Canis lupus familiaris: one gene and its partner. The protein of the gene in region 1 interacts with the protein of each later gene in a pairwise test. Links are inferred from orthologs where the notes say so. Each region holds a gene or a part of one and is shown in the gene's direction. Other genes may lie near its edges. The genes, in order: ALDH16A1 and DERA.

What was found.
Region 2: the proteins of ALDH16A1 (region 1) and DERA interact in binary tests that used the Homo sapiens proteins (3 or more experiments, as listed by UniProt). The link is inferred for Canis lupus familiaris from reciprocal best matches to the Homo sapiens genes ALDH16A1 and DERA.

What each region holds. Positions count from the first base shown.
Region 1 is NC_049222.1:107,716,020-107,719,841, reverse strand, and holds part of ALDH16A1 (aldehyde dehydrogenase family 16 member A1), read left to right. Parts: intron 1-2,521; coding exon 2,522-2,624; intron 2,625-2,950; coding exon 2,951-3,077; intron 3,078-3,623; coding exon 3,624-3,802; intron 3,803-3,822.
Region 2 is NC_049248.1:15,433,689-15,437,510, forward strand, and holds part of DERA (deoxyribose-phosphate aldolase), read left to right. Parts: intron 1-1,956; coding exon 1,957-2,091; intron 2,092-3,822. UniProt on the Homo sapiens protein: Catalyzes a reversible aldol reaction between acetaldehyde and D-glyceraldehyde 3-phosphate to generate 2-deoxy-D-ribose 5-phosphate. Participates in stress granule (SG) assembly.

The sequences.
Region 1 (3,822 bases):
TTTTATTTATTTGAGAGAGAGTGAGAGAACACAAGCCACAGAGCCACAGGGAGGGGCAGTGGAAGAGGCAGAAGCAGACCCCCTGCCTGCTGAGCGGGGAGCCTGACTCCAGGCTCCATCCCAGAACCCTGAGATCATGACCTGAGCTGAAGGCAGACGCTTAACTGACTGAGCCACCCAGGCACCCTCTCTGGGGGTATTTGGATTTGAAACTTCTGACTCACCATTTTCCTTCAAAGAAAAATGAGAGAACCAATTGGCAGGGTAAGAGGAAAATTGGGTGAATGTGGCTTTGGGATGCTAAGAAGAGAGCAATTGTAGAAGGAAAAAGTGGAAAGTGTGTCTTGGATTTTTCCAGGATTTAGGGAAGACAGGATCAAGGGGAGAAACATGGAGCAGACATGGAAGGCTAGGTGCAGTAAGATTAAGAGGAAATCCTACATGGTGCTGCTCTGAGTTTATTATGTGCACTGATGCACTTAATCCTCGCCAGAGCCCTGTGAAGTAGGGAGGGGCTGTGATTATCCCCATCTTCCAGATGGCTTAGCCAAGGCCAGGGTATTATAACACCCTGGCTAGGGTTGCACAATAGTACCAGAGCCAGGATTCAAATTTGTAGCTCTAGGGACTTCATAGCAGGCTTACCATGCCTGTGTGCTGTGCCTTGGGCTCAGGTAGACACATAACAGCCAAATAAGCTGTGCCTGGCAGGCCTGTGTCTTCTGTCCATATCTCTCCTCAAAGTGATGACTGCTAAGGGGGGAGAGAATGGCATCACACCATTGGATGCATAAGCCACCTGGCTTAAAAACCCCACCTCCCAAAAAAAGGACCTGATCACTGCCTGATACAGTGTTACGGGCAATGCTTCCAGGGTTGTGACAAGGTATGTGCCCAATCCCAGGAATGCAGAGCACTCCAGAAGGCCCCAATGCCTTGGCTTCCCACTGATATCTATGGCGTGTTCTCAATTGTCCTACTCAGGTGTGGTGGACCATTCAGGGGTCACTGATGACTGGTAATGCAGCTGAATTGTCTCAGGTTTCCTGAGAAATAGAAACCTGACCTGAGGTCATTTCTCCATGGAGGAGAAAGGGTTTTATTTTATTTTATTTTATTTATTTATTTATTTTTTTGAGAAAGGGTTTTATTAAGCCACATTTCAAAGTCAGTAGGACAGCCATTACATGTTGCTGGTGAGAGGGTAAAACTGTGCAGCCACCATGGAACCCAGTTTGGTGGTCCCTCCGTAAGTTATACATGACCCAGCAATTCCCTTCCTGGGTACATAAGCCCAAAAGAAATTGGGACGCTTGGGTGGCTTAGTGTTGAGTGTCTGCCTTGGGCTCAGGGCGTGATTCCAGATCCCTGGATTGAGTCCTGCATCCGACTTTCTGCAGGGAACCTGCTTCTCCCTCTGCCTGTGTCTCTGACTCTCTCTTTCTGTGTCTGTCTCACATGAATAAATAAATAAATAAATCTTTAAAAGAAAAGTGAAGACAGGTGTTCAAACAAAAACCTGTACATGCGTGTTCCAAGCAGTACTATTCACAGTAACCAGAAGGCAGAAACAAACTGAATATGCATTAACTGGTGATAAATGGATAAACAAAATGTGACCTGTCTAGACAATGGAATATCATATAGTCATAAAAAAGGAATGAAGCCTTTTTTAAAGAGAGAGAGCCGGGAGGGGCAGAGGGAGAGAGAATCAAGCAGGCTTCCAGCCGAGCTTGATCTCAGACTCTGAGATCATGATCTGACCTGAAATTGAGAGTCAGGTGCTTAGTTGACTAAGCCACTTAGGCAGGCACCCCAGGAATGGAGTTTTGATACAAGCAAATCATGGATGAACCTCAGAAACACTGTGTTGGATGAAAGAAACCAGTCAAAAAGTCACAGATTGTAAGGTTTCATTTCTGAGAAATAATCCAGAGTAGGCAAATCTGGAGAAACAGGAAGCAGATTAGTGGTTGCCAGGGACTAGTGTCAGGCGGAAGGGAGACTGAGTTTCCTTTGGAGGGGATAAAATGTTCTGGAACTAGATCATGGTGATGGTGGCACAATGTTGTTAACATACTAAATGCTAATAAATTATATGCTTTAAAATGAGGGGTGCCTGGATGGCTCAGTCGATTGAGCATCTGCCTTTGGCTTTGGTCATGATCTTGGGGTCCTGGGATCAAGCCTCACTTCTGACTCCCCACACAGTGGAGAATCTGCTTCTTCCTCTCTGCCCCTTCCACCTACTCATGCTTGCATGCTCTCTCGCTCTCTCTCTCTCTCTGTCTCAAATAAATAAAACCTTTTTAAAACATTTTTCAAAACTTTTTAAAAACTTAAAATGATTAATGTGATGAGTTTTAGATTATAATATATTTTACACTTTTTCTTCTACACAGGAAAAGAATTAGGGGGGCAAAGGGGTGCAGGTATCCCCCTCCCAGAGGATTCTAGGTGGGAATTGAGCTCCCCCATATGCCTCCTAGAGCCCTTTCCAAACTGTCTTCACCTCCCCCAGGCCTGGCTGGACACCCAGGACCGACGCTTGGGTCACTATGTGAGTGGAAAGTGGTTAAAGCCAGAACACAGGAATTCAGTGCCTTGCCAGGATCCCATCACAGGTATGAGGTGACCCCCAGGGGGAGAGAGGCATCTGTATCCCTGGCCAGCCTTACCTCCCAGCAACCCCCCATTCCCTTTGCTCTGAAGGCAGGGTGGAGCCAGTGGGAAAAAAACGCTCTTCCTATTAGCAGTCATCCTAATTACGTTCTACGTGCCTGTCAATGCTTTTTGAGATCACTCTCTACTAAGATCCTTTCCTTGATTATGGGGGACAAGCTTTTCTGCCTTGGGGCGCACCTGGGCTCTGGAAATCTGAGCCCCCTCCAGTTCTGACATGGGATCCCCCCACTCGTCTCATCTGGGGTGCCTCCATTCATCCCCCCAGGAGAGAGCTTGGCCAGTTGCCTCCAGGCACAGGCTGAGGATGTGGTGGCTGCAGTCGAAGTGGCAGGGAAGGCTTTCGAGAACTGGAGCGGACTCCCTGGAGCTTCCCGGGCCCAGCATCTGATCAGGTGATGGAATTGAGGTTTGGACCATGGGAGGTGGGAAAGGACTTCATCCTCCATCACCCACTTGAAACTGTGAGGACCCTCTATTTCCCGATATCTCACTGAGTTACTGGGTAGCTCAGGCTCCTATGCCCAGCATGCCTTGGTGCCTTTAGCAGTGAAAACATCCATACACCAGGACTAGTAATGAAGAAGTTCTAGTTCCCAGAATATCCCTGGGGTTTATCGAGGCTCCATCTTCCAGCACACTCTTGAGCCACCTAGAGACAAACATTCCATTTTCTAGAATACGACTGAGATTAGAGGTTAAACTTCAATTTCCATGCACCATTGGGGGTTGCGGGTGGCCCATATCATCACAGGGCACCCTCAGGCTTTGTGTTTTTTGGACTACGTTTCCCATGAATCTTTGTTGCTCTCCCCCCCGGTAAATGACAGGGATGCCCCCGGGAGATCATAAGGATTGTAGTCCAAGTACAGAGGAGGTGTTCTGGGACTGTGTGATGGAAGGGCAGTGGGAAATGACTATCCCCCTGGCTTTCTCTGCAGGCTGGCCAAGATGATCCAGAAGCACCAGCGGCTGCTCTGGACCCTGGAATCCCTGGTTACTGGGCGAGCCGTTCGAGAGATTCGAGACAAGGATGTCCCACTGGCCCAGCAGCTGCTCCAGTACCATGCAGTCCAGGCATGCACCCAGGAGGAGGTGCTGGCAGGCTGGGAGCCCATGGGTGAGAAGCAGGAGTCCTGG
Region 2 (3,822 bases), on another chromosome or scaffold:
TAGGTAAAGGGAGAAGGAGGCTCCCTACAGGGAGCCTGACATGGGACTTGATCCCAGGACCCTGGGATCATGACCTGAGCCAAAGGCTCAACCACTGAACCACCCAGGTGCCCCAAGTTTTATATATTTAATTATTTCTTTTTTACTCATTCTTTCAGTATCTAATTGCCTCCTGAGTAACAAACCATACTCGTTTTCAAGAATACAGAACTGTATCCCTGTCCTTAAGGAAACTTGGTTGTTTAGGAGGAATGATCGAGTTTAAAACATCAGGCAGGATATGTTGTATTATATATATGTAAAGTGTGATAGTAAAGATATGCAGAAGGTACAGTTGTAACTCTGAGCAGGGGGTGATTTATTTTGCACGGACTGGTAATGCTCAGAGAGTGAGGGGATTCTTCGTAGAGGAGATAACTGCTTGGGGTCTCAAAGGAGAAGGAGGAGTTGACGGTGTTGGTGAGATAGGGAATGGCATTTTAGAAGAACTAGCATGTGTGAAGACACAGAAGCATGCACAGGGAGCTGCAAGTAGTTTATAATTGTTGGATCTAAATTGGGATGAAGGGGGAGCTCTGGGAGTTGAAGAGGAAGAGGTAGATTAGGGCCAGTTCACATAGGGAAACCAGGTCTGGCAGTAGCATTTGGAGTCTATTCTGCTGATGGGAGGGATACTGCAAGATTTTAAGCAAAGGCATATCATGATCAGCTGCATGATGCAATGAGTCAGGGGGATGGTAGTGGATACAGTAGAGAGAGGTGACAGGGAGTTAAGGAGACTTACCATAGTCCATGTGAGAAGTGAGGAGAGCCACCCCAAAGCCTGGGAGGTAAAGAAGAGAGGGTATGTTCAGGAATTATTACTTAAGATAGACCCAATAGGACTTGGCAAGAAAGTAAGAAGAGTCTTTAAAGTTTCTGTGTAGGTGAGTGTGTGTGTGTGTGTGCGTGTGTGTGTGTTATGGATAGATACAAAATTAGATTGTACTTTTAGAGGAATATCCTGGTGCTTTAAAATAAGGAGTCTAAACATGATTACTTTATTTTATTAGGGATACATCAGAAGAAACACATAGTATTGATATACAAGCTACTTGTGAAGATTCTGAAAGTGTTTGGCAGCTACCTTAAATTTTTTCATCAGCCTCAGTCAATTCAACTTTTCTTTTATACAACAGGGAAACATGCTTCCCTCTAAGATAGCAGACCCAAGGAATTTAATAACATCAAGGAAATATAAAAGGTTATCATTAGTAATGGAAGTGGAATTAATGATGCACATGTAAAAAATGTAATGGTTTTTCTGAAGTGTAGCTGTGTTTCCATTTTTAAAGAAATTTGTGCTTGGTTTTGCTCTTCCCAACTCACCCCTGCCCCAGTTTTGTAGACTTTATTAGATGCTTTTCCCTGGTACAGTCTTTCCCTTTATTCTCATCTATATGGCTATTCATTTTAAGATAGGCAGTGAGAAGAACCTATGTTACCATTTGGTTACAACAGCTGTAAATGTTAGTGAGTAAATCAAGAATACAGTGATAACCAATTTGATTAAGAGTAGGATCCATAATTAACCAGTGTCCATCAAGACAAGTCTATAACTACTATTTTATGACTATCACTGTGATGATACATATTTTCTTAATTTCTGTTTATTTAAAGCCTGCTTATGAGCATCTCTACGGAAACTTAATTTCAGGTTTTTCAGACAACAAAATACTAATATTTATCCTAACTCCAATATCATGAGATGACATTCTGTTTCTTTGCACTTCACTTTATAAGATAAGGGTGTAGAAGCTCTTTAGTGTCATCTATTCCTTGATCAAAATGCTGTTTTGTTTTGTTTTGTTTTGTATGAAACTCCTAGTTGAGATACACCAACTGAAATTTGTCTCCCTCTCTCCCTCCCTTCCTATCCTCCTTCCCTCTTTCCTTTCTTTTCTCTCTCTCTACTAGTGGCCACTGGCTTTCCAGCTGGACAGACTCATTTAAAAACACGATTGGAAGAGATCAGATTGGCTGTGGAAGATGGAGCCACAGAAATTGACGTGGTCATTAACAGGACCTTGGTGCTGACGGGCCAGTGGGAAGGTATGTGCAAGTCCTTCCCCAAAAGGGAGACATAGTTCTTCCTGCGTGAATCAAACGGTGAGGATTGGATAAGAGGCAACATGTTTTGGAAGTCATTGTTCTAGGTTACAAGTCACCAGATCAGAGGGTGAATTTCAGAGAAAACATGGCTAGTATTGCTTTTCCTTGTTCCCCTCATAAATCCTAGGTAGTTGCCCACCTGCATTAACTTTTTAGATCCCTTTGAGTGCTTAGGTGAGTGGTTATTTCTATGCAGTAGATTATTAATTTTTATTCTATTCTCTAGTGTTTTATTACTCAATACATAAATCACTCTAGGCAAGTCATTTATGCAAAGTTTATTTTAATAGGTGGAAGAAACTTCCCTTTTTTAATGTTAATCTTGGTGGATTTTGAGGATGTGGACTTAGTAATAAGTCTGCTAAGTCTGTTTTCACTCCTGCTGTTCTTACACATAATTCCTATGGATACTACTTTATATTTACCTTTGAGATTCATGATTTACTATCATACCGATTATGATAAAACATCACCCATTTCAGTAACAAGCTGTTGTTTTTATAATTAGATATTAAAAAAATAGATTTGACCTTTGCCTTAAATATATTTTGTATATTAGAGATTGTTTGTTGATAGCTAAGATAAGTACAATTCTCTGCTTCAAAAAAATCATTATAAAAATAGTTCAACTAAAATTTTTAATTAAATCATAAGATAAAACCAGAATAATATGTTGTCTCTTTAGATAGGTGGATATGAAATACATGGCATATTTTATAGTCATTATTGAGGTTTTACCTGCTTGCTGTTAAAAACAAAAATTCTAACCAGTAATAAAGAAAATAGATGTTCCACATAATCTTATCCCCTAGAAATAACGTCATAACAGCACAATTTTTCAGACTTTTTTCTCTTCATATATACACACATGCAACTGACATCCTTTTTAAAAGTTTAAATAAAAAGTAGGATTATACTTAATGTATTTTTTTTTAGTCTACTTATTGGACTTGCCAATGTCTCATTGTTATCTTTCTGTGTTGCTTATCCATCGGTCCATCTAGCTTATCTTCTATAAATCCTAATTCCATTGTTTATCCATTAAGAATTGCTTTTGGTTACAGAGTAGCAAAGATTTAGTAGTTTCAACACTTGAGGATTTATTTTCTTATACAAAATCTGGAGGTAGGTATTTCAGGGGTACTGTGGCAGTCCCAAAAAGTTCTTAATGACCTATGCTATTTTGATCTTCCACTTCCAAAGTGGATGGGGTGGCTTCTACTCTCAGACTTAAGGGCACTCCATCATCTAAGATGGCTTCTGAAGCTCCAGCCTTTCCACTCATCTCCCAGATAACAGGAAAGAAGGGCTGTCTTATCCTAAAAGTCTCCCACAGCATTTTTGTATATACCTCCTTGGCTCAAACTGAATTACATGGCCATCTTGGCTGCAAGTGAGGCCAGAGAATGTAGTCTTTTAGCTTAGAATGTTAACTGTGTTCTCATACATTCTTAACAAGTTAAATGATGTACATTTCTGTGCCCAGATGGAAAGGACTGAGGGAAGTTCTGGCATGGAAGGACAGATTGCAATAAGGAGCTAAATGGGGACTGACATTAAAAAGCTTAATAGCAAAGGATCTTATGAAACAACAATAACACAAATATTTAAATAAAAAGAGACATGTAGTCAAAAGGCACAGCACTATTAGTTGTGGAGCAGGTCACCTCA